Linked DNA regions of Saccharomyces cerevisiae S288C. The gene in region 3 interacts genetically with the main gene of each other region. Each region holds a gene or a part of one and is shown on either strand. Other genes may lie near its edges. The genes, in order: BNA3, DIA1 and SIM1.

Evidence for each region.
Region 1: mutations in SIM1 (region 3) and BNA3 together harm fitness more than expected from each alone (negative genetic interaction), as found in Saccharomyces cerevisiae (one large-scale study listed by BioGRID).
Region 2: mutations in SIM1 (region 3) and DIA1 together harm fitness more than expected from each alone (negative genetic interaction), as found in Saccharomyces cerevisiae (one large-scale study listed by BioGRID).

What each region holds. Positions count from the first base shown.
Region 1 is NC_001142.9:320,191-331,617, reverse strand, and holds BNA3 (kynurenine--oxoglutarate transaminase), read right to left. Parts: upstream 8,233-11,427; coding exon 6,898-8,232; downstream 1-6,897. Other genes in the region: ZAP1 (Zap1p), read left to right, coding at 1-1,187; protein kinase IKS1, read left to right, coding at 1,497-3,500; BIT61 (Bit61p), read left to right, coding at 3,745-5,376; amino acid transporter YHC3, read right to left, coding at 5,428-6,654; linker nucleoporin NUP82, read right to left, coding at 9,461-11,427. UniProt on the Saccharomyces cerevisiae protein: Catalyzes the irreversible transamination of the L-tryptophan metabolite L-kynurenine to form kynurenic acid (KA).
Region 2 is NC_001145.3:900,274-910,174, forward strand, and holds DIA1 (Dia1p), read left to right. Parts: upstream 1-4,551; coding exon 4,552-5,562; downstream 5,563-9,901. Other genes in the region: TGL3 (bifunctional triglyceride lipase/lysophosphatidylethanolamine acyltransferase), read right to left, coding at 1-1,034; PRE5 (proteasome core particle subunit alpha 6), read left to right, coding at 1,436-2,140; YMR315W (uncharacterized protein), read left to right, coding at 2,527-3,576; YMR315W-A (uncharacterized protein), read left to right, coding at 4,013-4,120; YMR316C-A (uncharacterized protein), read right to left, coding at 5,389-5,700; YMR317W (uncharacterized protein), read left to right, coding at 7,091-9,901. UniProt on the Saccharomyces cerevisiae protein: Involved in regulation of invasive growth.
Region 3 is NC_001141.2:123,012-134,288, forward strand, and holds SIM1 (putative glucosidase SIM1), read left to right. Parts: upstream 1-5,139; coding exon 5,140-6,570; downstream 6,571-11,277. Other genes in the region: alpha-ketoglutarate dehydrogenase KGD1, read left to right, coding at 1-2,722; AYR1 (acylglycerone-phosphate reductase), read left to right, coding at 3,193-4,086; POG1 (Pog1p), read left to right, coding at 7,599-8,654; QDR2 (cation transporter), read left to right, coding at 9,233-10,861. UniProt on the Saccharomyces cerevisiae protein: Involved in the remodeling of the cell wall during the various phases of yeast culture development and under various environmental conditions. Required for the maintenance of the CLB5 kinase activity.

The DNA.
Region 1 (11,427 bases), on a different chromosome or scaffold from region 3:
CGGCGAACACAACAGCCGATCTAACTAACAACGATTTAAATGACTTAATTTCAAGAGAGTATAGTTATGAAAGATTTAGAAATCAAAGTGAGCCCCCTTCGCTACCCAAAGTCACTCATCAGAATCAGAAAAATCGTAGATCTTGGCCTACAAAAGATCTAGAATCTACTGATTTCAGCTCTTTGGAAGACTCATTACCTTCTAGCATCTCTCCTCCTATACAGACAACAAGCACTATAAATTTCAACTGGTGTTTTAAAGAAGAGAAAAACAATGACTTAAAATGCAAATGGAAAGAATGTCCTGAGTCTTGTAGCTCACTATTTGACCTACAAAGACATCTTTTGAAGGATCATGTCTCTCAAGATTTCAAACACCCTATGGAACCATTAGCTTGTAATTGGGAGGACTGTGATTTCCTTGGAGATGATACATGTTCCATAGTGAACCATATTAATTGTCAACATGGTATCAATTTTGATATTCAATTTGCCAACCCAGACTCATTTTTGCCTGGTAGTATATCAAAGGAAAAACATCACTTACTACATTGCCCCAACCCACAAACACACGAAGTTTCTAAAGCAGATGGAGCACCTGATATGACGTCTGCAAATGATGTTTCCAATATACCGCCAATCAAGCAGCCGGAACAGGTGATTTGCCAATGGGATGGTTGCAATAAGTCATTTTCCAGTGCTCAGGAATTAAACGACCATTTAGAAGCAGTACATTTAACCCGGGGTAAGTCTGAATACCAATGCTTGTGGCATGACTGCCATCGTACGTTCCCCCAAAGACAAAAATTAATCCGTCATTTAAAAGTGCATTCGAAATACAAACCTTATAAGTGCAAGACATGTAAAAGGTGTTTTTCAAGCGAAGAAACTTTAGTTCAGCATACCAGGACACACTCTGGCGAAAAACCTTACAAATGTCACATTTGTAATAAAAAATTCGCGATTTCAAGTTCTTTGAAGATTCATATAAGAACCCATACTGGTGAAAAACCTTTACAATGCAAGATTTGTGGTAAGAGATTCAACGAATCGTCAAATTTGAGCAAACATATTAAGACCCATCAGAAAAAATACAAGTGCTCTGACTGTTCCAAAAGCTTTGACGATTTGGGAAAATTGAACTCACAGAAAGTGAAATGCGCATTGGAAAGAAAACCATATTTATAAATGTGATCATCATGGTCCAACGTAAGAAGGGCGGTTTTCAGGATCACATAAATGCATAATTAGAAACATTTCATATTTTACCTAGACTACTTTTTATTTATAATTTTTCGCAAACTCTTTTTTGTAAGCTTTTACAGTACACTTTTTTTACGTAATAACGTATTTCAAGCTTTATTTTTTGTATACGTTTCAGAAAAGGGGGTGGGGGGGAAGGACATTGTATATATAGATCCTATGAGTGACAACTAGGTAACCGAAGAAACACTATTAGATATATAGTTTGAGGGATAGCATAAGTAGAACTTAGAAATGAGTTTAGTACCATATGAAGAAGGTTCGCTGATTTTAGATGATCCTAATTCTAAATCAGTGGTGGTTGTTAATCCAACCTCAGGAACTTTATCATTTTTCCAACAGGACAACAGTAATAATGACTCTGAACTAAATGAAGACCAGACTGCATCTTTATCAGCACTGGACTTTCCTTCAGGGATTCATCAATACAAAAGCCCTATTGCTTCCTATGTGTGCCCGCAATGTGGTACGGAAATTAACCCTGATATTATAAACAGAAGACAACTTCATCGTCGAGCCTCTGCTGGAGTAGAATCAGAAAGCAGTAGGCTCAGTATTCCAGAGAACACTGTGCCACTTGGATTTGAATTTGCCAATTCAAGCTTTTCAAGAAGATATTTTCAGTCATTGGAAAGAAATCATCGGCACTACGCCCTACAAAACGATAGTAACAATAAGCAGGGACAGTTCAGCAAAAACAAATACTTTATTCCAGATGATTTGTTTATCCCCGGATACTTTCGTAAATTTTTCAAAATATTGTCTTTGCTGGGAAATGGTGCAAGAGGTTCTGTTTACAAAGTTGTACACACAATTGGTAATACTGAATTAGGTGTTTTTGCACTAAAAAAAATACCTATTGGAAATGATATGGAATGGTTTAATAAGTGCATACGGGAAGTGAAAGCGTTGAGTTCGCTAACTCACAAAAGTGCCAATTTGATTACGTATAATCATGTGTGGCTCGAAATGGATTCTTCGGTTGGATTTGTCAGATCCATTGATGGGAGCCAATCGGATTCACAAGAAGAAGTTCCTTGTATTTTCATTTTACAACAGTATTGCAGTGGCGGCAATTTAGAAGACTGTATTCTAAGAAAAGTGTTCAATAGGTTCTCAGATACCGAATCACCTGAAGAGAGGAAAAAAAAATTTAGAACTCGCAAGAAAAATCACGGTAAATCAGGAGAAGTTGGCCTATCTACGGAACAGCTCGTATCCATTATAAGGGATATTGCAAGAGGTTTACACGAACTGCACAGTATTGGCCTAATACATAGGGACTTGAAACCATCCAACTGTTTATTATTGACTCCATTTAAAAGTGACAATGAGAATGACAACGTATACGACAGGGAACACAATTCAGATGAGTTTTTCCCATCAATTGTTATTGGCGATTTGGGGGAAAGTCAGTTGGAAGGAGAGTCCAGATTGGGTACTGGTTGCACAGGAACATTAGAGTTTACAGCACCAGACCTTATTATCCAGGGGAGACCAGTTTCTTCTTCTACGTTGCCTTCAAGATCGAGTCACACATACAATGAATACACCTTTGCTTCCGATATGTATTCTCTAGGAATGATTTGCTATTTTATTGTCTTCGGTGAATTGCCCTTTGAACCACAGTTGGATATAGTTGATTTGAAGGTACGCATCAAAAATTTTAGGTTCGACACTGAAGGTATGATTGAAAAGCATCAAGCGATGAAATTGAAACCAATAGACCGTAGAATATTTCACCTAATGGACGCTCTTTTACAACCAAATAATGATGCTAGACCCACAGCGAAGACAGTGGAGGAGACGTTAGATGAAATGCTAATAAATTCCAAACCCGGCAAAAAATTCTGGAAAGAAAATGTGGATAGCACTTTGAACTTCAGTACAATCTCGGAAGTGAATGAGAATACCAACAGTTTTACTGATGATTATATTGACGGAGACAACGTTACTTTATCATTACCAGCACCAGAGGAAAATTTGAGCACCGTATCAACCCAAAACCTCCAAAAGTATTCTGCTTTAAATAGAACAATCCAGGTTTGTTACAAACTAGTTTCTATGATATTAACGATAATCATATTTAAGTGTACCAAAACGGGGTCGTGGCTCTCTTATATGTCACTGATATTGTTGGGAATGGTTTTTAAATCACCAGCTGATGAAAGAGGTAAGCATGCAAGAGCGTTGGTTTTACTGGCCTTCATCGCCGCATGCAAAAAATACATATACTAACAATAAGTACACATTGCAAACTAAATAGCACGTAATTTATTTTTACTTTACAAATTTATAGAAAATATTCTCGCTTATCACCAATGTTCACGAATCATCTTCACCTCTTCTAAGGGCCGGTGACAAAGGTGCATAATGTTAGAAAAATTGACCGATGAGTAAATTTATAGAGGGAATAACCAAATGAAAAGATCTAGGTGACAGAAACGCCAATTGACCTCTGTAGAAATAAAGTTCTTTCATTATGACAGCAGAAGATATACTCCTTCGAGAAAGAACATCTACTACGACACAACGCCCTGTCAATAGCGAACAATACCTTAATGTGCAATTAGCCACAGCCCCAGTAAAAAATTTTCAGACTACAAGCGAGATTAGCCGGCAAACTCTTGTAGACACATCAAATGATGACGTTTATTCCATCAAGAATTTGAAGGGCTCGAGGAACCCCATTAGCCCTAGTGTTTCTAACGTTGGCTTCCAATCCATATTCCATACAGTAGATCATCCTCGATCGAAGGTCAGTGTGGCCTCAAATCATTCCTTGAGGAGCAATGACAATGCCTCAGCTGCAACATCTAAATCTGGTTCTTCTCAGATAGGGGAATCTCATAGCGTTGACACGGTGGAGTGCTCGAACAATCTATCTAAAAAGTTATCTTCTGATGCAATATCCATTACTCAGAAAAGTTTACACTCCACGCCCTCCGGCAGGTATATGAAAGGAAAGGCTTCTGGCTTTTTTAATAGGAGAAACAGAGCACATACGACCATTTCATCGGATCCTGCCTCCTTTTTGACAGATTCAAGCACCTTACATAATAGTTCACATTCATTTCGAAACGTGATTAAGAACTTTTTCCAAAATAAAAGCCACAGGCACATTGGTCAAGATGCTATCGAGCCTGCAATTCCAAATTCCTTGAGTAAATTTCTGCATTCCTCTTACGGAAGACATAAATCTCCGTCACAATTTATTCATACTAATGCGGGGCAACTTGTGGACTCAGGAACTTCTGTGTACTCATTGAATGTTAATCCATCTGGTGTCAATCCCAACACAATCGTTGAGGATCCGCTTTCTGGAACTGATCCTGCCTCACCGAATCCGGTCTCAATGTTACACGACCTTTTAAGAAATTTACCATCTCTGGAAGCTAACTATAAACACTTCAACTCCCAAGAACTGACAACCCTAACAAATAATATTTGGAATATATTTTGTAGTAACGTAGCAGAATTATTCAGAACTCAAAGAATATGGAAACTCAGGGCCAAAATAGAAAATTTTAACGAAGTTTTAGAATTCTATTGCATTTTAAAAACAGATCCAAGAGTCACACATAGCGGCATGAATAGAATTATCAGCGATTTGAAAGAATTTTTGGTTAGTTCCCTATACAATTTAGAAAACCAAATTGTTTTTAACTATTCTAATGAAGACACAATAAATAACGCATTGAAAAGATTAGGCGTTATATGGCGGATATTTTATCAAGAGGTATATTATGATTTAGCCGCTGTGTTATTACCGTTGGATCAGAGTATCAGAGAAGATGGTAATTCTACGGTTTTAAAGTCAGGCAATGAAAGTCGGACTCACATTAATGGTAATTATTCTATTGGGTTTCTTTTGCTTATGTGCTTTAGAGATTCAATAGTCTTACCTTGTTATGAAAACTTCGTAAATAGTAACGATGGTATCAGCAAAAGTTTTCAACTTTACATTTTCAATCAAGAAGAAGAAAGTAATGTCACAGAAACAGATAAATTGACATTACTGCAGTGTTTTGGCATATTGAGTACCATTCAAAGTAATGATAGAAATCAACGAATTATCGAAGAGTTATTAGCAGGCATTAGAATGAGTATATAGAAAGCATCTAACACTTTATTTCAATCTCCTATTTAATATCACAACAAAACTTTATTCCATCCTACACCAAGGTCTGTCATCGGCAATTTGATGCCTACAAAGTTTGGGTTCTAGCCCCAAACCAAGTAACGCAGCCAAAAAAACGCCAAAGGAATCAGCGATGGACACAGCACCCATGGCGAACTCTGTTTCATCAGGATCCTCTTGTTCGAGAATATTTAAGAATGTGTTAACATATGACGCACCACCAAGAAAACCCTCATAGAATATTAATATCATCACCGCCCAGGGCGAATGTGTGACATAAAACCATGATTGCAGTACCGTTATGCACAAATTCACACCTTGTAAAAACGCTAAGATGTATAAACTCCTCATTCTCATAAGATGTCCAAAGGATCTTGATATAAAGACACCTAATTGGTAGAGCGTTCCATAGGTTACGTATATATCTCTGTATTTATGGAAGAAAAATGGCATCGATTTACTTCTTTCATCACCATTAATCGGAAATAATAGGGTCGGAGCTACCGCTTGGTTTATTAAATATTCGAATAAGTAGACGGTGGTCAATGGAACCATGTATGGAAAAACCAATCTTCGAAGTCTCTTGACCGTTTGCAAAATGTGCTGTCTTGTAGAATACAGGGATTGCGAAGCGTTGGTATGTGTAAAGGCGACAGGAAAGGGCACCAACTGGTCATCCTCTGCTTCGTCAATTTGTTGAAGACTTTGGTAAGTCAGGTTGGTATCATTGGATTCTAATTTAAAATAAAACAAAAATGCAAATGGAAGGAGACTAAATACTAGTAAAGTTAGCTTCACTGGAACTTTAAAGATTGAAGTTAAGAACATATAAGATGCTCCGCCAATGATTCCTGCACCACCAGTACCTGACGACCATCCATTCAAAGAAATTTGTTTGTAATAGTGTGTTAGCTGTAGGAATGTCACTTCTCCAAATCCGGAAGATATAGATGCGAAAGATATTCCTAAAAGACAAACAAACAAGTTTTTAAAAGAAACTAAGAACATTCCTAAGCAACTCATCGTGATCAAAGACCATATTCTATAGCTGTACTTGATTCTATCAATAAAGAATGGGGAACACAATTTAATGGCGAGTGATGGGAATATATCTGCTAGCAATACTAGAGATTTAGGCAAGGTAGGACCCACGATATCAACAGCTGCTGAAAGTATTACCACATAAAGTACATTATTGATCAAACCAAAGAGCCAAAAGTAGCAATATATCTGATGAGATTTGTCACTCATTTATATTTACTTGCGCTATATCTTCATATGTGTTTAAGTACTCTATAAATACACTGTTCAAAACATTACTAAATGTTCATATTGTCTATTTTTCATTAAGGGTTCACTTTTTCTTGTAGTACGCGAAGAAAATATGGAATTATTCTGGAATATTGATGTTTATATTTACCACTTCTGCATAAAAATATACATGCTTTATAAAATCTATATATTGAGAAAAAGGAGTATAAAAAAAAATTTATCTTATAAGTAGTCCTTGAGTAGTTTTAATCTCTCTACGGCATTTTCTAGATAAGCATCATCTTTACAAACTGCAAACCTTAACAAATTCTCAGCAGCCTTTTCGTGCTCTTTGATATAGAATTCAGTTGGTGGAATGGCAACCACACCTAATTCATTGATCAACCAGTGAGAAATGCGAAAATCTTTTCCCTTATTCAGGATCTCCTCTGGGTAGGGATAGTCCTCGGGAATTTTCACTTTAGAGAAATCAACGAGGACAAAATATGTACCCTCTGGAGCTGTATATGGTAGTCCCAATTCATCAAAGATCGATGTGAAAATTTTGAATTTGTTGATATATTCCTGTCTCATTTTTTCAAAATACCCAATTTTTAAAGCGTCGTTAATAGAGTTTGCACAAGCTTCCTGTAGAGGGGATGGAGATGCAAAACAAATTCTTGTATGTGCCTTAGCTGCATAACTTAACAACTCTGCGTTCAAGGATAAGACCCAACCAATTCTCCAACCAGTAGCAGCAAACGATTTACCGGCAGAACCGACCGTTAAGGTTAGTTGCCCAATTTCTGGAGAGAGTGTGGCAATTCTAGTGAAAGAATCAGTGAAGTAAAGGTGTTCATAGACTTCATCAGATATAATCACAACGTTGTGCTTGACGCAAATGTTACCTAAAGTGGTTAATTCCTCGCGCGTGAAAACTTTACCAATTGGGTTGTGAGGGGTATTGATAATGACAGCTTTTGTCTTGGATGTAATCGCTTTTTCGAACTGCTCAAAGTCAATGGTCCATTCTTCACCTCTAGTATTCCTTTGATCCAATTCCTTTGGAGGATTTATGGGGACGTAAACAACTTTACCACCGCAAAGTTCGATATTTGGAATATATTGGTCAAAGAAAGGTTCAAAAACAATAACCTCGTCGCCAGCGTTCAAAAGCCCCATCAAGCAAGAAAGTATACCTTCATTGGCACCTGTTGTTACGGTAACATTTTCCGCTTTCAATTCTGTGTTATAAATAGGAGAATACAACTTAATCAAGGAATTAATTAATGAAGGTCGACCTCTAGTTGGAGAATATTGATTGACCATTGGAATGTCTAGGGCTTTCTGAGCCTCCTTAATGGCGAATTGAGGAGGGGAATATGAAAAAAAGCCTTGGCCTAAATTAATAAGTTCACGGCCTTGGTTTTTGGAGTTATTGGCAGCTTTTGCAGCGGCTTCATTGGTTAGCGACCAAACATCTTTGGCAGTGTTAGAAGTGAAATATTTGTTGGCAACAACTTTCGGTCTCGAAGTAGACATTAGGTTCGTAAATTGACGAATGAATCGTTGTTTCATTGAGAGCAAGTAACAATGGATTCTATACGCAATTATAGTAAATTGAACACTTTATATATATCTCTATCGTACCTTCCCCTTTTAAACATGACTGAATTTTGGTATCTTGATTGTCATAATGACAACAAAAAAGCCACAGTTCTACGTCACGTGCTAGACACGACATGCTACTGAAGAAATTGTTATCAAATGAAAAGATACATTTATGTAATAACCACTACCAGGCACTTGCTAAAAAGAATCTACGTAAGAACTACATAAAGGTTAGCTTGTGCGCCAGAAAGTGATATCAAAGTTTTATGAACGCTGAACAATTTTGAGCCAGTAATTATCTTGGCATAGGAGACGATAAATGCCATCGTTCTTTTAAAGAGCTTATTAAGTTATTAACTCTCTTCGATTAGACATTCTCTTATCAAACGAGTTACGTTACATTTAGGAATAATGCGACAAAGATGGAGGTCTTGATTCCTAAATCCTACTCAAAACAATCTGCTCTACTGTCAAAATCCTTGCTCCGTAAATTGATTTCGTTGTCAGACGCTCACCGTACAAGAAGTTTGTGGGTATTTACATCGTAAGAAAAGTGCAACCAGATTCAATATTGAATTACCTGAGCGGTGTCTTCCTATATTAAAATGACGATTTTGTTTTTCTTTGTATTGTGAGGGTAGCAGATTCGTCTTCTGCACTTTTCATCTACTATTGCAAAGCCTAATACAAATACAGTTGTTGAATATAAAAATTCGAAATCAGCCTTCCATTCTCGAAAGTGAACAAGGAAACTCACTGGATAAAAATTCACACGAAAAGAAAAAACCGAAAAAAAGTAACTGTGTTGCTTGCAGAGGGTTTGATTACTCATAACCGAGAGACACGATCTGTAGCGGTGATATGAACGTATTCCTCACCTTCTTCTAACCCTTTGGAATAATAGTTTCCATCACTCTTTACAAAAGTAGCATTACTCACCAAATAAGGTCATAAAAAAGACTTTTATTTTGTATACATGTAAATTTTGGCAGCGGTTAGTGAGGTAAAAGAGATACGAATGAATATACGATACAATGATACAGCATACTGAAAAATCATCCTAACGATTTGGTGCACAGAAGGCTTTATATATTGACCAATTCATATATAATGTCCTCTTGCTACATGATATTATACCATTGCCCAGTTGTTTCTTAGCGTACATATATGATAGCAGACTATGCAAGTCGCTTACTCATTGAGTTTTAGTAGTAAATTCCTGAGAAACTTGTAACAATTCTTCATTGCATTCTTTAATTATCTTTGAATCTATTTCAAGCATTTTGCGTAGCTCATCCCATTCGTTTTGGCTCTTTTTATCGACTTTGATAGTTTCTGCCTCGATACGAGTTAGTTCACTCTTCAAGTACGATAAATCTTGTTGAAGGGATTTTTGAGAGTGAACAAAGCTGTTGAATTGCAATATTTGGTTTCGTATCTCTTTGAACCATTTCATCTCACCATGGCTTATTTTCTTTTCTTTAAATTTATTGGATTCGGCGATTTGAGATAGCTTCTTGCTCAATTTACTAAATCTCTCCATTAATTCTGACTGTCTGCTTAGTTGTGCATCCCATTTCTTATTTTGTGCTTCGAATTTTCTCCTTAAATCATCATCCTTTGAAATTATTTTGCATGTCGATTGTAGTTGGCGCGTCAATTCGAACTGTTGCTCATGAATTCTATTGTGGATAGAAACACCCAAAGTTTGAGCTTTAACAATTCTTTGCAAAAATTCTTTGGAAATATCCGTGAAAATTTCCAACTGATTTTCACTAGCTTCGTTTTTTAAAGGTATCTGGCGGTCTGCTGATGGGATAATTCGTTCACATGGACTAATACAGGCTTTTTGAAAATTATCGTTCAAAATAAGAATCTCATTTATGGGCTGTGTGAAACTCATTTTAAAACCATCTCCTACCGTGTCACTTTTTTCTGTACTGATACTTGTTTCAGCTGCGGTGCTTTGCGGTTTCATATCGCTTGAAATATTTTGAAAAGTCAATGTTTTATTCGACATCAAGGCTAAATTAGATTGGTCATTCCAGTTGATATACGCTAGGTTTGGAATTCTTTCTATGGTGGCAATATCCTCAAGTTTACTTTCAAATTTCAATCCTGCAAGTGGATTCAAATCCGATTCGTTGATACATTTACTCAATGTAGAAGCCCAGCTCATAAAATTTACTTGTTGTATAATATTATCGGAAATGACATAAAGTTTTCCCAACTGTTCAGGTAACGTTATTAGAGACTTAATTTCTCTTTGTAGTTTGACTCGTTCAATTAGAACCAAAGAATTATTATACACGTAATTGTCAACATCCCACGACATTGACATTTCCAAATCTTTGAAGAGTAAGATTAAAGACCCATCATCAAAACTGACACAAACAATTTCATTTTGCCCATTATCAATTAGTATGGTTGCAATATTTGTAGCAGTATAGTCATACAGCTCGCCGGGAAAGGGGTTTATCGTGAATGGTCCTTGAACCTTGGCTAAACGATATTCCTTTTGTATGTCGACTTTGCCAAATCTTGAATTCCAATTTTCATGCAGTTTTGACACAAACTGTAACTGCTTAATAACATTCCTTTTAACTATAACATCTGTTGTAGAATCCAGGGACTCGTACATTACTAAAGATTTGTTTAGGATCAAGTTGAGATCTTTCTCATTTAACAGTAATACTGACGGTAAAAATGGATAAAATGCAAAGATATCACCGCCTTCTGTGGTGTTTAGACAATATAACGTCAATCCGTCCTTACTGAATTCTAAATCTGTGATGTCGTTAACACGTGCATCTAAACCAAAGGAGTTGTTCGGTTTGTTCAAAACGATAGGCTTTTCTTGCGAATTAAGGATGTCAAACATCGTGATAGTGTCATCCTCTTTCAAAACCACTATACAAGAATCACGATAACTCTTTGGATGAAACAAAACTTTCTTAATGGACGATTTCGGACCAACTTCTTCTTCATCAATTGAATAGTGGAAAATTTGGAATGCATCTTGAATGGAAACGTCTTCAACGTTGGAATAGCCCCAAGGAACTTCCATTACAAAAATCTCGTTGTCATTGAAAAGACAGAGTAGGTCACCAGACGTACTAGATATTACATGGAAGGTATCATCCAAGACGAGATGACGACTAA
Region 2 (9,901 bases), on a different chromosome or scaffold from region 3:
TTAGGGCATGATTTATCAGTTGGATGAATAACAATATTGAAAACTTTTCCAGTAATTTGATAAACTTCTTCAAAAGTTTTTTCCTTAACAATATATTTCATAACAAACCGGATAAAAAGATAAACGTCTTGAGAATAACCGTGGTGTATTAGGTTCTGAATCAAAGTCCCCAGGTTTAGGTGCTGCTCTAAATTACCGTATCCACAGCTTTTTAATAAATCTACATCATTCTTGATGATATTCAAGAGGTTGTCATCGGTCAATAATTGCTTTAGTTGCTCATTGGACAAGCAACCGAATAAACTTGCAACGCATGCCCCCATAGAGCTACCACTTATAATATTAGGCATCAGGTCCTGTAACAATAAACCTCTAATCACCCCAAGGTGAAACAGCCCAAACAATGAACCACCTTGCAAGATTAATGCTGTTGTGCCCAGTGACAACTTACATCTTTGGAAAAAGGATGTTGGAGTTAAAGTTTGATTATTTAATATATCCAAGCCTTCTAGAATTCGGGTCAAATATTGTTCAATAAGTAGCTTTGTACCCATCAAAGATTTTGTGAACAACTTTTTATCTCCAATACCCGCAAAGTTCCTCAACATACAAGGGCCTGTAGTCGAAAACTTCTCCTTAACTACATCATACTTCTCCTCCCTTAACATATTTTCCAATATGCTATATTGTTCAATGACAGAATTGAAGTCGTACCTCCTCGAAAAGAAATTCCGCCGCCATAAATTTGCGCCTGTTATTTCATCCACTACGGACGCTTGCTGACACCACATTTGATACGTATCACACTCATCTAACTTCTTAATAGCGTTATAATAAATGACTCTTGAGTGTGGCCGCACATAGTTAATCAGCTTTTGAACCCAGAAGAAATAAATATCGGTGATGACATGTAGAATTTCCCACACAAAAGGAGGTATATGGTCCAATGTGGCATACACTACACGCAGTATCCAGTTTTTCAAAAGGGTCGGTATTACAGCAGACACCTTGTATTCCTGCGCCGTTTCCTTCATGCTTAACGGCAACTCAAAGATGTGATATATGAATAGATGATTCCCTTACTATTGTGTCATAGTACTTCTCTATGTAATCAGTACTAATTTCTATTAGCTGCTACCCAGAAAAAAAAAAACATAAGAAAAAAAGGGTTAGGGTTGAATTTTCAGACCTAGGATAAGTATCTCCGAAATTACTAAAAACCTAGTATTTATTAAAATGCCCTACTAAAAAAGTAAAAATGACCTATAAAGAACATACCCTATTATAGAGTGGCAAAATTAAAAATTCAAAAGTATCGTCAAAGTATGGAAAAGAACCAAGACGCCACTACATTTAGGTAGACGTGGTGATCAATTGAAGTTCAAGAGAAGTGGGTAAGAATACATTGAACTAAGCCTTCATATATTTACAAAACATGTTCAGGAACAATTACGACGGGGACACAGTCACTTTTTCTCCTACAGGCCGTCTGTTCCAAGTGGAATACGCCTTGGAAGCTATTAAACAAGGGAGCGTCACTGTGGGGTTACGTTCGAACACTCATGCTGTTTTAGTAGCGTTGAAAAGAAATGCAGACGAATTGTCATCATACCAGAAAAAAATCATCAAATGTGACGAGCACATGGGGCTCTCGTTAGCCGGGTTGGCTCCAGATGCTAGAGTTTTAAGTAATTATTTGAGACAACAGTGTAATTACTCCAGCTTAGTTTTTAACAGAAAGCTTGCCGTCGAGAGAGCAGGTCATTTGCTTTGCGATAAAGCACAGAAAAATACACAATCCTATGGGGGCAGACCCTACGGTGTTGGTTTGTTGATCATCGGGTATGACAAGAGCGGTGCTCATCTTTTAGAATTCCAACCTTCCGGAAATGTCACAGAACTATATGGTACAGCTATTGGCGCAAGAAGCCAAGGGGCAAAGACTTATCTAGAGAGAACTTTAGACACGTTTATAAAAATTGACGGGAACCCGGATGAACTAATCAAAGCTGGCGTCGAGGCTATCAGCCAGTCTCTAAGGGACGAATCCTTGACTGTAGACAATCTTTCAATCGCCATCGTGGGTAAGGATACGCCTTTTACAATTTACGATGGAGAAGCTGTTGCTAAATACATCTAGGTCTGGACACAAAGTATCGTTTCCACTAAGCAATTGTCAAAGCAAGACCAAAGAAGCCTTTCACCACGGTCGGGGTTTTTTTACATATAAAGATAATAATAGATTAACTTAGTACGTAGTCTCACTTCTCATTCAAAATTAAAAAAGACGTGGCTTCCAAATCAACTAATAACCCCGCTTAATTCCGCCCTCCGCCGGGGAATAAACGGAGTTATCCCCTGTTGAAAATTCAGCATGATTATGTATCACAATACATAGGTGTTCGTCTATAAAAAGAACTACTTATTCTGGATAAACTTTCGAACTCGCTCAAACCTATTTGTTTCTGTACATCGAATAGACCCATAATCACTTCTTGGTTCCAAAAAGTAAAGTAATAGCCAAAAATGTCCCCATTGAACGTCGGTATAGTTGGTACAGGTATTTTTGCCAGAGATAGACATCTCCCATCCTACCAGGAATTTCCTGACAAATTCAAAGTCATTGCCGCCTTCAACAGACATAAGGCAAAAGCTTTGGATTTTGCAAAGGTTGCTGACATACCTGAAAATAAGGTTTACGACAATCTAGATGAAATTTTGAATGACCCTCATGTCGACTACATTGACGCTTTGCTACCTGCTCAATTTAATGCTGATATTGTCGAGAAGGCAGTTAAAGCAGGTAAGCCAGTTATTTTGGAAAAACCAATTGCGGCCAACTTAGACCAAGCAAAGGAGATTGTCAAGATAGCAGAATCCACCCCATTGCCCGTTGGTGTGGCTGAAAATTGGTTATATTTACCATGTATTAAAATCGCAAAGGAGCAGATCGAGAAAATTGGTCCTGTAGTAGCATTCACCCACAATTCTACCGGTCCATTTGTTACTCAAAATAAATATTTGACCACAACCTGGAGACAAAAACCAGAGCACATTGGCGGATTTCTATCTGATGGTGGTGTCCACCAATTAGCTCTCGTTATTTCCCTACTCGGTGAATTTGGATCTGTTTCTGCATTAACGAGACAGGTGCGTGAACGTTCCGGTGCAGATGATATTGTCTTTGCTACTGTCCAGTTGAAAAATAAAGAGGTTATCGGAAGTTTTACTTATGGGTCTGCCTTTGGTGCTACCGAAAAGTCGGTTTTCTTGAAAGTCTATGGTAAGAATGGTACCGTTACCGTTGACTTATCAGACAAAAAAGACCCCGTTGTAAAAGTCAAATTAGGGGGTTCAGCTGAAGATAACGGTGACGAACAAATTTTTAAAGTCGATAATGATGAAAGTTTCGGCGTCAACGCTGAATTTTTGAATTTTCACGAAGCTGTCAGCAAGAAGGACAAATCCTTATACCTAGGCACACCCAGAACTGCATTTCACCATTTGGCTTGTGTGGACGCGTTTTTAAAATCTTCTGCCAAGAATGGTGACTACGTTAAAATTGAGCAGCCATGATTACCGTTTTACGATGTAACGCTTTTTTAACCTTAATAGATAGATTCCCTCATATATTTATAACTATGTACCCACATAAGTATACTTTTGGAATGATAATACTAACGAGATAAAAAACCGTTGAAAAATTTCTAAGTTTTCTTGAACTAAAAATAGCCAAAATTCTCCATCCACTTGTTGTTGCAAAATGTTACGAAGGCGAGGTTCTTGGAAATCTGGATGATTATGGGAAAATTCGTTCAACAAGAACGCCGAGCCTGGACGAAATACTTAGTCGGCATGGAACTAGTTATGAATGACTTTTCCTATATAAGATCTACAACCGTTTCCAATTCACCATGAGATATATATATGTTTAACGAATCAGGTACTCGTCCGAAGCATTTCGAGTAATGCAACCCCACAAGTGTCCCCCAAGAATTCACTGGGATTTTTGATGACCGAAAGAAAGCTATTGCAGCTGCTACGGCGTCCTTTCATCTCCCTTTCTTTATTCACGGCCTTAAGAGCTTGTCCGCTTCGCCCCAAAAGCCTAATTGCTTAGAGCATGAGAGTTGAAAACGACCAGAAGTGTCGTTTTAGGTAAGCATTCGGCCATAATGAACAGTAAGTTTGTCCGAAAAATACACCGCTAGGGTTCGATAACGAAGAGCGCATATCAATTGCGTTGTCGACTTAATTGCTCTCTTAGTACAACGGTATGTGTCAGTGATAAAATCCTACCGGTTCCACTTTTTGTGAGCGATAGATGACGGAACGTATGCGCCTATTTCTTTTTTTTGGCGCAGCAAGGGACAATGGTCCCTTTTTGAGAAAATGTTGTAGGCTTGGCCATCGGCGTGAACGCATATAAAAAGAAGACTGCCAACATGACAGTATTTGAAACAACTACAGATTTGGCAAAGTTCGCCAAGATAAAGAAGACCGAAGCAGGTGCTAAGCTTCCATTAAAAGTTTTTCAAGAAAAATCTGATTATGGGTTCAATAAGTAGATACCTTCTTAAGAAAGCAGCAGATGGGCTTAAAGATGAGCAGAGATTGAAGATTGAAATGTCCGATAGCAAAAGTGTCCCAGAGTGCTTTCATTTTAATAGGGAAAGAAGAATGCCCATAGCCGAGATAAACGGCGAGGATGGGTTTTTCATGTTTCCGTCTCAGCAATCGCTTGAAAATTTTGAAAACACTAAAAAGTATTCGAATGAGCTGAGTCCAGATGCAATTGGTATTCCATTATTCCAAATTATCAATTGCACTCTACCGTTTGGTAAAAGAGGTCATAGCAATACTGTGGTCGGCAATGTCCCATATTATAAAATTTTCAAATTTATTTTAAGAACGGCAGACGAACCTCCGCCTTATACTGTGGCAAAAATCGTTTGCTCAAACAACGGATTAATATTGTATAAAGTGCCTCTTTACGACATATATAAAAATGTCAGCCAAGCAAACGTAACTTACAGCTTCGTAGGGACTACGTCTACGGAGCCCAACTTACTAGCAATGGCTCACCGAGAAGGACACAGGGATTTGGACACTAAAGTGAATAATTTAAATCTCAGGTGGCATGTCACTTATTCGCCCGTAGTTACCAACGATCATTATAAATTAATTCTGTTAGCAGATTATGAAGTGAATCGTTTGGATGAAGATGTCATTAGAGCCGCTAAAAATAAGATGTCCATCGACCAAAAGGATCAAAAAGTTCAGAGGTTCGTGGCAGCTCATTATACTAGAGAATTTGAAACATCTCTTTTTAGGTGGGTCGCTCAAGAGGGCCACTTAATTCTTGGCGAGTATTCCACAGATCAAGGATCATTTGGATTGAATAATATCCCACCATTGACGGAAGAACTCGGGTGTCAGAGCCTGCTCATACATTACATAGAGTACATGAAGAGACAACGTAAAAAAATTGCGAAAGAGGCAAGGAGACAAAATAAAAGAAACGTTGCAAACACGACTAACATGAACATGAACCTCATGTAACAAAAGTTTGCGTATAATAAACCAGTATAGATGTGTAACTGTAATTTTTAACTTATCACAAGCTCGTTCCCTTCCTGCGTTGAAAAAGCGGGACAATGCCAGAATATAAAAAAAAGAAGAAACTTTAAACCCTGTCATATCTTGTCCGAGATCTCGTCGTTCTTGTTTAATTGATCTTCTTCGTATACTGCCAAAGGTGCCAAGGCACAAAAAAGTTTAAAGTGGCACGGGCTATTGCGTCACATAAAGCCCGTAGCGCAAAAAAGTGATAGCTGACTTCATTAGATCACCAAAATGGAAAAAACTTCGTGAAGATTTCTTTTTATCTTCCTCACAGTTTTTAACTTCCGGGTGTTATACTCTCCGTTTGAAAAGTTGATTTTGTTAACTTTCCTCTTTCCTTTTGGAGTAAAAACAATATCCTCGATAGGCAAGACCTTCCTGCACCGCTATGGCGGCCATTTTGATTTTTCTTTACTGTGGGAAGCAAGAACTTGTTCAGGCGCCTTCCTGGATAAGCCATCTTTTTTCAAACAGTTTCTTCTATACGATAGGAAAGTCGTTGGCCAATCGATTAATTAATTGAACAATAGGAGCCAAATAAGCAGGATATCTTCTTTCGTATACCGCCTGCCTCATTATTCAGAACAAACACGAGTGATCTGACACTATGAAGTTAGCAGTAATCCTTTCTAAGAGAGGTGGCCCAAAATTCGAATAAAATTAACTTTCCTTACCATTTAGCCTCTATCAAAAAGGTTCTAAAAAGTAATATCACACAGCCGAGCCTAGGACGTCACCTCTTTCCTACACAGTTGACATTACTTATGTACTCAAAAGGACGTATGTACCAAGGAAAGCATAGTTTTTATTCAAATCGAGTTTTTTATTCTTATATCCTGCTTAAAAGTGGTGATTAATGAGGAAAAAATGACAGCAAGAATGAAATAGTATGTAATTTCTTTAGATTTAGCGGTGCCCGTGCCTTCCACGCGCAACTGTTCTCTCTAATTTACTATTCGCTTTGAACGTAAAATGTGCTTTAGTTTCCCAGATGTAGCTCAAGTATTATACCATCTTTTGCACCTACTTTACTAAATTCATCTCAGGTATAATTGTATCGCATATTCTATTTTTTTTGACATTTAATGCAAAATTGTGTACCTTTCGTTAAGGCGAATTTTCTGGACCATGCGCAGATCTGATCCAAAATAAACTTTTTTTCATGAAGCTCGTTTGCGATCATTGCCTGTGAATTTAGCGAAGGTGTCAGTCCACGGCGACTTAGAACTCACGTAAAAATAAGCATCTTGCTAAGACTGTTCAGCAGTCAACAGTAAAGTTCTGAAAACATGTTTTCTTAGTCTCTATCTTTGCCCATGTTCCTCTCAAGTGGAACAAAGCTAAAAATGAAATATTAATTTTATATAAAGTCTCACTCACACCTGTGGTAATTTTGTTCCCTCAGATTTGTCAATGATTCTGTCATAGAAAAGGTATCCACAAGAAAGGGTAGCGCCGTATCAAAATGGGTTCATCTGGTTCAAAATCGACCACAGCCACTACCACATCGCATAGTAGCACGACTACTACTAGTAGCACAACCAGTACAACTACGCCTACTACCACTAGCACGACAAGCACGACAAGCACTAAAGTTACAACTAGCCCAGAAATTATTGTCAGTAGTTCTAGCACATTAGTTTCTTCTGTTGTACCCGAGTTTACTTCTAGCTCGTCGCTCTCCTCTGATACAATTGCCTCAATTCTATCATCGGAGTCATTGGTTTCCATTTTTTCTTCTCTTTCTTACACATCATCCGATATTTCTAGTACATCAGTCAACGATGTCGAATCATCAACCTCTGGCCCCTCAAACTCATACAGTGCGCTTTCCTCCACAAATGCACAACTGTCCAGCTCCACTACAGAGACTGACTCCATAAGTAGTAGTGCTATTCAAACATCTTCCCCGCAAACCAGTTCATCAAATGGAGGTGGTTCCTCTTCGGAGCCATTGGGAAAGTCCTCTGTCCTTGAAACTACTGCTTCATCTTCTGATACAACTGCAGTCACATCCTCCACATTTACCACGCTTACTGACGTTTCATCTTCTCCAAAGATAAGTTCCTCAGGATCGGCTGTCACTTCAGTTGGTACTACTTCCGATGCCTCAAAGGAAGTTTTTAGTTCAAGCACGTCCGATGTTTCTTCCCTACTATCAAGTACTTCCAGCCCCGCAAGCTCTACTATTTCTGAAACCCTACCATTTTCCTCTACAATTTTATCCATCACTTCCAGCCCAGTAAGTTCAGAAGCTCCATCGGCAACGTCTAGCGTAATTAGTTCAGAAGCTTCATGGGCAACGTCTAGCTCAGTGAGCTCGGAAGCTCCATTGGCAACGTCTAGCGTAGTGAGTTCAGAAGCTCCATCGTCAACGTCTAGCGTAGTGAGTTCAGAAGCTCCATCGTCAACATCTAGCTCAGTGAGTTCCGAAATTTCGTCAACAACATCTAGCTCAGTAAGTTCAGAAGCTCCATTGGCAACGTCTAGCGTAGTGAGTTCAGAAGCTCCATCGTCAACATCTAGCTCAGTGAGTTCCGAAATTTCGTCAACAACATCTAGCTCAGTAAGTTCGGAAGCTCCATTGGCAACGTCTAGCGTAGTGAGTTCAGAAGCTCCATCGTCAACATCTAGCTCAGTGAGTTCAGAAGCTCCATCGTCAACATCTAGCTCAGTGAGTTCAGAAGCTCCATCGTCAACGTCTAGCTCAGTGAGTTCGGAAATTTCGTCAACAAAATCTAGCGTAATGAGTTCAGAAGTTTCATCGGCAACGTCTAGCCTAGTGAGTTCGGAAGCTCCATCGGCAATTTCCAGCTTAGCAAGTTCTAGACTGTTTAGCTCTAAAAATACATCAGTTACTTCTACTTTGGTTGCTACAGAAGCTTCGTCAGTAACTTCTAGCCTAAGACCTTCTAGTGAGACATTAGCAAGCAATTCAATCATTGAAAGCTCTTTGTCGACGGGTTACAATTCGACCGTTTCTACCACAACATCCGCCGCATCTAGTACACTTGGATCTAAGGTTTCGTCAAGTAATTCCAGAATGGCCACTTCCAAAACCTCATCTACTTCCTCCGACTTGAGTAAGTCTAGTGTAATATTCGGCAATAGTTCTACCGTTACAACCTCTCCATCAGCGTCTATCAGTTTAACCGCATCTCCACTTCCATCGGTCTGGTCTGATATCACCTCTTCGGAAGCTTCATCAATTTCCTCTAACCTGGCTAGCTCCAGTGCGCCATCTGACAATAATTCCACCATTGCAAGTGCCTCGCTGATTGTCACCAAAACAAAAAACTCAGTCGTTTCATCAATTGTCTCTAGTATAACTTCTTCTGAAACTACAAACGAATCCAATTTGGCCACATCTAGTACATCGCTTTTGAGTAATAAAGCTACTGCCCGTTCTTTATCAACATCCAACGCTACAAGTGCTTCTAACGTTCCAACAGGCACATTTAGCTCCATGAGCTCTCATACTTCGGTGATAACTCCCGGCTTTTCCACCAGTAGTGCGTCACTCGCAATTAATTCAACTGTCGTTAGCTCATCATTGGCAGGTTATAGTTTCTCGACACCTGAAAGCTCTCCAACTACTTCCACTTTGGTTACTTCAGAGGCTCCTTCAACCGTTTCCAGTATGACCACAAGTGCCCCATTTATAAATAATTCTACCTCTGCTAGACCTTCGCCAAGTACAGCTAGTTTCATTACTGAATCCACTTCAAGCATTTCCAGCGTGCCATTAGCGAGTGGCGACGTCACTTCCTCATTAGCGGCCCACAATTTAACTACTTTCAGTGCTCCTTCAACATCCAGTGCACAACTTGTAAGCAAATCAACTACCTCTAGCTCCATCCTGGTCACACCCAGAATCGACAGGTCTGGAAATTCCTCAACTGCCTCTAGAATTGCAACATCACTCCCTAACAAAACTACATTTGTTTCTTCCCTAAGTTCAACATCCGCTCATGCCAGAAATATCTTTAATTCAACTGTTCTAGCTACTGCTAAACAAATTGAAACTTTAACTTCAACAGTCAATTGCAGCAACCCTACTCCTAATTACAACATAACCAAAACAGTAATCGTAAGTAGGGAGACTACTGCCATAGGAACTGTTACAAGTTGTTCGGGTGGTTGCACCAAGAATAGAAAGTCAACCACACTTATTACTATAACAGATATTGATGCTTCTACTGTTACTACTTGCCCAGAAAAAGAAGTAACATCGACCACAAGTGGAGATGAGGCAGAACATACCACTAGCACTAAA
Region 3 (11,277 bases):
GACCGCAATGACTGGTTCAGTAGATGAGAACGTCTCCATTCATCTAAAAGTGCAATTGCTATGTAGAGCTTACCAAGTTAGAGGTCATTTAAAAGCCCATATAGATCCTTTAGGGATCTCATTTGGTAGTAATAAAAATAACCCTGTTCCTCCGGAATTGACTCTAGACTACTACGGCTTTAGCAAACACGATCTTGATAAAGAAATCAACCTAGGACCTGGTATCCTGCCAAGGTTTGCAAGGGACGGGAAATCTAAAATGTCTCTGAAAGAGATTGTGGATCATCTAGAAAAGTTATATTGTTCCTCTTATGGGGTACAATACACACATATTCCATCTAAGCAAAAGTGTGATTGGTTAAGAGAGAGAATTGAGATTCCTGAACCTTACCAATATACAGTGGACCAAAAGAGACAAATCTTAGATAGATTAACATGGGCCACTTCTTTTGAGTCATTCTTATCTACAAAATTTCCAAATGATAAGAGGTTCGGTTTAGAAGGTTTGGAAAGTGTTGTTCCAGGTATTAAAACTTTGGTTGATCGTTCTGTTGAATTGGGTGTAGAAGATATTGTTTTGGGTATGGCTCACCGTGGTAGATTGAACGTTTTATCCAATGTGGTCCGTAAACCAAATGAATCTATTTTTTCTGAATTTAAGGGTTCGAGCGCTCGCGATGATATTGAAGGATCGGGTGATGTCAAGTACCATTTGGGTATGAACTACCAAAGACCAACTACGTCTGGTAAGTACGTCAATTTATCGCTGGTGGCAAATCCTTCTCATTTAGAATCCCAAGATCCAGTTGTTCTTGGTAGAACTAGAGCTTTATTGCATGCCAAGAACGATTTGAAGGAAAAAACAAAGGCCTTAGGTGTGTTATTACATGGTGATGCTGCTTTTGCTGGGCAGGGTGTTGTTTATGAAACCATGGGTTTCTTGACCCTACCAGAATACTCTACTGGTGGTACTATTCATGTTATTACAAACAACCAGATCGGATTCACTACGGATCCAAGATTTGCAAGGTCCACACCATATCCTTCCGATTTGGCTAAGGCCATTGATGCCCCAATTTTCCATGTTAACGCTAATGACGTGGAAGCTGTGACCTTTATTTTCAATTTAGCCGCAGAATGGAGACATAAGTTCCACACAGATGCCATAATTGATGTCGTTGGTTGGAGAAAACATGGACATAATGAAACCGATCAGCCATCGTTTACTCAACCATTAATGTACAAAAAAATTGCAAAACAAAAATCTGTCATTGACGTCTATACGGAAAAATTGATAAGTGAAGGCACATTTTCTAAAAAAGATATTGATGAGCACAAGAAATGGGTATGGAACTTATTTGAAGATGCTTTCGAAAAGGCAAAGGATTACGTCCCATCTCAAAGAGAATGGTTAACTGCTGCCTGGGAAGGATTCAAATCCCCAAAGGAATTGGCCACTGAGATATTACCACATGAACCAACTAATGTTCCAGAGAGTACTTTGAAAGAACTAGGTAAGGTACTCTCTTCGTGGCCAGAAGGTTTTGAAGTGCACAAAAATCTAAAGAGAATTTTGAAAAATAGAGGAAAATCTATTGAGACAGGTGAAGGCATCGATTGGGCCACCGGTGAAGCATTAGCGTTCGGTACATTGGTTTTGGATGGTCAGAACGTTAGGGTTTCCGGTGAAGATGTAGAAAGAGGTACATTTTCTCAACGTCATGCAGTCTTGCATGACCAACAATCTGAAGCCATTTACACACCGCTAAGCACTCTGAATAATGAAAAGGCAGACTTCACCATTGCAAATTCCTCGTTATCTGAGTACGGTGTAATGGGTTTCGAATATGGTTATTCGCTAACCTCCCCAGATTATCTAGTCATGTGGGAGGCTCAATTCGGTGACTTTGCAAATACAGCACAGGTTATTATTGACCAATTTATTGCCGGTGGTGAACAAAAATGGAAGCAACGCTCTGGTTTAGTTTTGTCTTTACCCCATGGTTATGATGGCCAGGGGCCAGAACATTCGTCTGGTAGATTGGAAAGATTCTTGCAACTAGCCAATGAAGACCCAAGATATTTCCCATCTGAAGAAAAGCTACAGAGACAACATCAGGATTGTAATTTCCAGGTTGTTTATCCAACTACGCCTGCTAATTTATTCCACATTCTAAGGAGACAGCAACATCGTCAATTCCGTAAACCATTGGCGTTATTCTTTTCTAAACAGCTGCTGCGTCACCCATTGGCCAGATCATCTCTTTCCGAATTCACTGAAGGCGGATTCCAATGGATTATCGAAGATATTGAACATGGAAAAAGTATTGGTACGAAAGAGGAAACCAAGAGATTAGTTTTGCTGAGTGGCCAAGTGTACACTGCCCTACATAAAAGACGTGAAAGTTTGGGTGATAAGACCACTGCTTTCTTAAAGATTGAACAGCTGCACCCATTCCCATTTGCTCAGCTACGTGATTCATTAAATTCTTATCCAAACTTGGAAGAAATTGTTTGGTGCCAGGAAGAGCCATTGAACATGGGTTCGTGGGCATACACAGAACCACGCTTACACACAACATTAAAAGAAACGGATAAATATAAGGATTTCAAGGTCAGATACTGTGGTAGAAACCCAAGTGGTGCTGTTGCTGCCGGTAGCAAATCACTACATTTGGCCGAAGAAGATGCCTTTTTGAAAGATGTTTTCCAACAATCCTAAAGATGAATTCAAATATGAAAAACATGAAAATACAGCCATATAAACACGTAATATTTTTACCTTAATGTTTATGGACAGCCTTTTTACTTGAAGAATGATCTAACAAATATTTTTTTTGATACATTCACATTTTTTTTTTGTTCATGATGTTAGCATCTGCTTAGTCTTTTTAAAATTATTTAATTTAACGTTTTATTTATGTGAACCTTTTTTTATTAGTTGTATTTACTATTTATTCAAGAATCATTCTTTACTTTATATTGATATCGTTTTTTTCCCCCTACTTCCTCCTCTGGTGTATTCACAGCTAGGTGCTTCTCTTGTCCTCATCCGGTGGAGAAAAAAAGTGAAAAATAAGTCAATGGAAAGGGGGAAGGGGGTAGGTAAATAGAGTGAATAAGTTTTATTCATCATGCCCAACTTCTATTAATATATACTCAATTCAAATATTGATCAGGATTTCAAAGAGTATGTCGGAGTTACAGTCACAACCTAAAAAGATTGCCGTTGTTACAGGCGCCTCAGGTGGTATTGGATATGAGGTAACGAAGGAATTAGCCAGAAATGGCTATTTGGTTTATGCATGTGCAAGAAGACTAGAACCAATGGCACAATTGGCCATCCAATTTGGTAACGATAGTATCAAACCATATAAGTTGGATATTTCCAAGCCAGAAGAAATTGTAACATTTTCTGGTTTTTTGCGAGCTAATTTACCTGATGGTAAATTAGATTTATTGTACAACAATGCCGGTCAGAGTTGTACATTCCCTGCATTGGATGCAACAGATGCTGCAGTAGAACAATGCTTTAAGGTCAATGTGTTTGGTCATATCAACATGTGCCGTGAATTGTCGGAGTTCCTTATTAAAGCGAAAGGAACCATTGTCTTCACTGGTTCCTTGGCAGGAGTTGTGTCATTCCCCTTTGGTAGCATTTATTCCGCTTCTAAAGCTGCTATCCACCAATATGCTCGTGGGTTACATCTAGAGATGAAGCCCTTCAACGTGAGAGTGATTAACGCTATTACTGGCGGTGTGGCTACTGATATCGCTGATAAAAGGCCCTTGCCTGAAACCTCAATATACAACTTCCCTGAAGGTAGGGAAGCTTTTAATTCAAGAAAAACCATGGCTAAGGACAATAAGCCCATGCCAGCTGATGCGTACGCAAAGCAACTGGTTAAAGATATCTTGAGCACTAGTGACCCTGTAGATGTTTATAGAGGAACGTTCGCCAACATCATGCGTTTTGTCATGATATTTGTTCCTTACTGGCTATTGGAAAAAGGACTTTCCAAAAAATTTAAATTGGACAAAGTTAATAATGCTTTGAAGTCGAAACAGAAGAATAAGGACGATTAGTGTTTCACCATCGTCAATAGCTACCTATATTTATATACAAGATTCCGTATAGTTTGTACACCACGTCAGGACATCAATAGCTAATAATCGTTCTAATGCTAATGTTCAACTGCTCTTTAAGTATTGTTTACGTCTCGTCGTACCAGTATGCCAAATTCCTGTCACTTCACTCATTCTCTTTGCTCTTACCGTTTGAAACGCGCTGGGACGGAATTCGCTCATTTCGCATCGTGCTTTGTTGTTTTTTTTTTTTCAAAATTGCCATTGTTTATTTATAAACTACATGAAATTATTCTGTATTTATCTTCGCATTCCCTCTCTTACTTCAAAAGTGAGAACAGCATATTCAAATATATATATCTACTCAGTTGAATAAGACACTATAGCAAGACCATTTGAACTGAAAGAAACAGTTTCTTTGCTCCCCTCTCGAATTCCAACTATTTACAGTCCTTCCTTTATAAAAATTAACTAGCGAGCAAGAAAACATTTGTTTAGTGCTACCCAACTACTTACATTCCTTTAAAAACCACAATATTTAAGTTAACCTGAGCTTTATTTTTAGTAAGTTATTTACCACAATTTTTCTCATACACCTTTACAATCCGTATTGCCATGAATACCAAGGCTTGCTCAGCTTCTGCAGCAGTTCAACCCTTTCCAATACCGCCAATGCGTCCTCAAAACGTTAGTTTAGTCGTGCTCAACCGCTATTTTTGGTTTTATCTTCGTTTCTTTCTCCTGAACGACATTCGTCACGAAAATTGCGGCGGAAAATTTCCTGATGCGGACACTTTTTCCCGATCCGGACATGCCTTTTTTTGGCGTTTCGCGTCAGTCAATAGAAGTTTCAGATCTACATTAGGAAGAACCAGAAAATAGCCATTAATGCTTTCAGCATAGCACAGCATAGCAGCTGTGTATATCTTAAATAAGATGTAGACTGGTTTGCATTTGGAAAGGTTTTGTGTAAGAAAAGCAATACTTGAGGTAAAACAAGAGAAAAAAAAACACTTTACTAACTAATATCCAATCCTTTATTTTTTTGCAGAAATGAAATTCTCAACTGCCGTTACTACGTTGATTAGTTCTGGTGCCATCGTGTCTGCTTTACCACACGTGGATGTTCACCAAGAAGATGCCCACCAACATAAGAGGGCCGTTGCGTACAAATACGTTTACGAAACTGTTGTTGTCGATTCTGATGGCCACACTGTAACTCCTGCTGCTTCAGAAGTCGCTACTGCTGCTACCTCTGCTATCATTACAACATCTGTGTTGGCTCCAACCTCCTCCGCAGCCGCTGCGGATAGCTCCGCTTCCATTGCTGTTTCATCTGCTGCCTTAGCCAAGAATGAGAAAATCTCTGATGCCGCTGCATCTGCCACTGCCTCAACATCTCAAGGGGCATCCTCCTCCTCCTCCTCCTCCTCGGCAACTTCTACCCTAGAAAGCAGCTCTGTTTCTTCATCTAGTGAAGAAGCTGCTCCAACATCTACTGTCGTGTCAACTTCTTCCGCAACCCAATCTAGTGCTTCTTCTGCCACTAAATCTAGTACTTCTTCCACTTCACCATCTACTTCTACTTCTACTTCCACTTCTTCTACTTCCTCTTCCTCTTCCTCCTCCTCCTCCTCTTCTTCTTCTTCTTCTGGCAGTGGTAGTATCTACGGTGATTTGGCCGACTTTTCAGGCCCAAGTGAGAAATTCCAAGACGGCACTATTCCATGTGACAAATTCCCATCTGGTCAAGGTGTCATTTCTATTGACTGGATTGGCGAGGGTGGATGGTCCGGTGTGGAAAACACCGACACTTCCACTGGCGGTTCATGCAAGGAGGGGTCCTACTGTTCCTACTCCTGCCAACCAGGTATGTCTAAGACCCAATGGCCATCCGATCAACCATCTGACGGTAGATCTGTCGGGGGTTTGTTGTGTAAAAATGGTTATTTGTACCGTTCTAACACTGACGCGGATTACTTATGTGAATGGGGTGTCGAGGCTGCCTATGTTGTTTCTAAACTAAGCAAGGGTGTCGCCATTTGCAGAACCGACTACCCGGGCACTGAAAACATGGTTATCCCAACCTATGTTGAAGGGGGTAGCTCTTTGCCATTGACCGTTGTTGACCAAGATACTTACTTTACTTGGGAAGGCAAAAAGACATCTGCTCAATACTACGTTAATAACGCCGGCGTCTCAGTTGAAGATGGGTGTATCTGGGGTACTTCTGGATCTGGTATTGGTAACTGGGCACCATTAAACTTTGGTGCTGGCTCCACTGGTGGAGTGACATACTTATCATTGATTCCTAACCCAAACAACAGCGACGCATTGAACTACAACGTCAAGATAGTTGCTGCTGATGATTCATCCAATGTCATCGGTGAATGTGTTTACGAAAATGGTGAGTTCTCTGGCGGTGCTGACGGGTGTACCGTCTCTGTTACTTCCGGTAAAGCTCATTTCGTCTTATACAATTAAGCTACGTGACTACTACTTTTCCTTTTTTTTTTCTTTTTTCGAACACATCTCACCCCCTATACCTCACACAATCACTATGGTCCCCTTTTCTTTTTACCGATATTTATACTGTCCACCTTTTTCTTTTCGTTAATGGCCTCAATGTTTCTGTACCATTATCCAAGTGAACTTGTTAGACGACCAAATATAGCCAAGATTCATTACGATTATCTTTAACTAGCAAGTAGTATTCTTGGATAGAGAGATTTTCAAAGACGGAACAATTTTAAATAGATTTACATAAGAAAACACATACTGTCCGATACCCATAAGAAATTTAAGAACTCTTTTCATCTTCAGCTTTCCGGCCTCCTTTTACTGTAGCCTGTTCCTAGACAGCTAAAAATAGTACATATGCAGCTCTGCAATAGTCTCAAAGGGGATATTGTGTAGGTTTACGAAATCATCACATTTCCGAATCAGGACATGAAGGCACAACTTTCCGCACGTAGTGTTTTCAGCCCCCAGCGCCTGTCGGCGCGAAGAGGATCTGCGGAGATGAGCTTTGCCCCGCCATTACCCGTAAAATATTACTGTTTTGGGCAATTGTGGATCAAAAAGGGAAAATGCGGATGGTGAAAAAAATTTTTGGAAATTTACTGCTTCAGATGGGGGAACTTTGTAAGTTCTTCCTTTTTTTTCGTAGAGGTTGGAAAATTCAGAGTGCTAAGAAATTAAAAGGTATGCACTGCCTATTCTCATAAAAGCAAAAGTGCACAAAAATAATAAGGTGTGAAGCAATAGTAGAAAAGACACTGGGAACCCAAGGTATCTTATTTTAACAGATAAGTAAAACTAAGATCAAATCGCGTACTGATATCACTTAAGGTTCGCGTATTTTAAAGGCTACGCAGAAGAGGAAATAAATTGCGTGCAATCCCTGCGCTTAACTCATACAAAAAGGCGCAAAACATTTCAAGAGTCCCACGATTAATTGCAGAAATTGAAAAAAAATAAGTAAAGACGAAAATCAAAGTGGATGCCATATTATGAAGCAGGAGCCACATAGACAATCCGAAGAAAAAGAGAAGCCGAAAGGACCAATGGCTGTTGAACGAGAGCAGCATACCTCATTATCTTCTGGTACAACCGTGACAGCTAGTACAGGAGACGAGAGTACCAACAGTAGACCAGTGGAATCATCGCAAACAGAAAAGTCTCTATCGCTTCGAATAAGAATATTAAAACAACTTGGGTTTGACGATATTCAAGAACTAAATGCATGCGACACTGGCCTAGTGGAGCAATTTTTAAACGTACGATTGATAAACGACACAAAAGAACTAGAAAAGATACGCGAGTCAAATCTTGCGAAACTAAACCAGATTATTGATAAATGTATGGAAAGTGATAAAATAAGTGATTCGACATTAAACAAGATTCTTGATATGTCCATGAATAGAGATACAAATAATGATAACAACAATCATCTTACGATACCGTCTCCGATAACGACAAAGAAACGCAAGATAAACGCCTCCGAACTTGCAAGTCCACGAGGCCATAGAAGATATAGATCTGATATACCTACAGTGTCAGAAGTTGAGACAGGGGTCGGATACCCTCAAATACACCAGCAACCAGGCGCATATACTTTACCTATGCCTGCAAATCAGTGGATGAGCAACCCGTATATGCAACCTCCGCAACCACAAGTGCAACAGATAATGCCGCAGTATTTATATCCACCAGGGATGGGACCACAAGCTCAGCTTCCTACAATGAGCTCAAACTCGGAGTCCCAGACACCAGTGATGAGCTCACAGTTTCTTTCCTTGAACCAGCATGGCCTTTACCAACAAAATATAGGTGCTCATCCGGTAATGAGTATGGGCCCACAGGCAAATATATACGGGCAGCAGCACCAGCTGCAACCTGGTCAGGAACGAGACCAGTCAAGAAAAAGTTTTAGTCATAGAAGGTCACAAAGTGCCAATATTTCCATGGCAAATTTTAGGTCGCCCATGCGAAATCCCCAGCCGGCTTCGTCCCAAAGGCCCGTCAATTTTCTCATTCATACACCAAAACATCCTCCTCCCACATGACGTGCAGTAATTTTCATTTTTATCACCTAATTTCTAAAACTATATCCCTTCCTAACCTTCATTCGATGCATCCGTCCACCTTACTTCAGTTCAAAAAAAAATATATATCCATATATATGCTACAGTGTTATTATTACGATTTCTTTGCCTTTACTCCTTATCTCATTTCAATCATGAATAAACAGGATATTGATAATATATGCTGTCATTTTGGATTCAGTCTGCTTAACTGTCTTGTCCACCCCCGGTGTTCTTACCCGTCTGAGCGGTCGTAAGACGGAGGTAATAATTTTTCAGCATCCTGACCTCCCCCCCAAATCTGTGCCTTTCACCACATTTTTCTCGAGAAAATGTGTCTTGGCTCAGATGATGTCGTATGAGCTACTGGACTTTTTTTTGTTGGCCCTGATGAAAATAGTAATGGCGGTTACAGAACAGATAAACGGCGTCACCATCTTTTCCTAGATAAAGAAGCAATCTCTAGATAATGGGGTATATAAATATACATTGTAAAAACGGCAAGTCAGTTGCTGGTCATTTTAGTAGAAACTCTGCTCTCAAACTTGAGTACTGCAACGATGGCAGGAGCAACATCAAGTATAATTCGGGAAAATGATTTTGAGGACGAGCTTGCGGAGAGTATGCAGTCATATAATAGAGAAACTGCAGACAAATTGGCTTTGACTAGGACCGAGAGTGTAAAGCCAGAACCGGAGATAACCGCTCCGCCTCACTCACGCTTTTCCCGTTCTTTCAAGACAGTTTTAATAGCTCAGTGCGCTTTCACTGGGTTTTTCTCCACAATAGCAGGTGCCATCTACTATCCAGTTCTGAGCGTTATAGAAAGAAAATTCGATATTGACGAGGAATTGGTGAATGTCACTGTTGTAGTATATTTTGTATTTCAGGGTCTTGCCCCCACATTCATGGGCGGGTTTGCCGATTCACTGGGCAGGAGACCGGTGGTGCTTGTCGCAATCGTCATTTATTTTGGTGCCTGCATCGGTCTTGCTTGTGCTCAAACGTATGCTCAGATCATTGTGCTAAGATGTCTACAAGCCGCCGGTATTTCACCCGTGATTGCGATTAACAGCGGAATAATGGGAGATGTTACTACTAGAGCCGAGCGCGGCGGGTACGTTGGATATGTTGCTGGATTTCAAGTTCTAGGTTCTGCGTTCGGAGCCCTTATCGGTGCCGGATTATCATCTAGATGGGGATGGAGAGCCATCTTTTGGTTCTTAGCAATTGGATCTGGCATTTGCTTCCTAGCCTCGTTTTTAATTTTGCCAGAAACAAAGAGGAACATATCCGGGAATGGTTCTGTCACCCCAAAATCATACTTAAATAGAGCTCCCATTCTTGTTTTGCCAACAGTAAGAAAATCATTGCATTTGGATAATCCAGATTACGAAACATTGGAACTGCCCACGCAACTAAATCTACTGGCGCCCTTCAAGATTTTGAAAGCTTATGAAATTTGTATACTTATGCTAGTCGCTGGATTACAATTTGCCATGTATACTACGCACCTTACGGCGTTATCCACAGCTTTGAGTAAACAATATCACTTGACTGTTGCAAAGGTAGGATTATGCTACCTTCCCTCCGGTATCTGCACATTATGTAGTATTGTCATTGCTGGAAGATATTTGAATTGGAATTACAGGCGCAGATTAAAATATTACCAAAATTGGTTGGGCAAGAAGAGATCAAAGCTTTTAGAAGAACACGACAACGACCTTAATTTGGTGCAACGTATCATAGAAAATGATCCCAAATACACCTTTAATATCTTCAAGGCGAGGTTGCAACCCGCATTTGTTACCTTGCTTTTAAGCAGTAGCGGATTTTGTGCGTACGGATGGTGCATTACTGTCAAAGCCCCTTTAGCGGCCGTTCTTTGCATGAGTGGATTTGCGTCGCTGTTTTCCAATTGCATTTTGACTTTTTCAACAACTCTAATAGTTGATCTTTTTCCCACGAAGACATCTACGGCTACGGGATGTTTAAACCTTTTCAGATGCATTCTATCTGCTGTGTTTATAGCTGCATTGAGTAAAATGGTAGAAAAAATGAAATTCGGAGGTGTTTTTACATTTTTGGGGGCTTTAACCTCCTCGTCATCGATCCTCTTATTTATTCTCTTGAGAAAAGGTAAAGAATTAGCCTTTAAGAGGAAAAAGCAAGAACTGGGAGTAAATTAAGAAGTAAAGCTTCTTGAATCAAAGGAAAATGTTCCTTTTGATCGCTCCACTACCGAGAAAGAGGAATTGGTGTGATAAGTCTTCTCAAATAGAAAGTAATAGTAAGTATTTTTTTTTTTTTAATCTGAACTCTGTAATAACTAAAATTAGAGTTAGCAGCACGATTCACTAACATAGAACGGCTAGTACTGAGTTTTGCCTTTATTATTCTCCGCCATTTTTTGCCAAGGCCGAAAATATGCTGGAGGTGCGAAATTCGGAGATTCGGGTTTCATGTTTCTGGCCCGGTTGTTAACGGACCCTTTATCTCATCTTCTGATCTTGGAGTTTCTTCTAGTTGATAAAACCATGGTGAAGCTGAAAGGTTTGAAGAATCTCTATCACTGTAGCAAAAAAATCTTCTTACAACAAAAAAA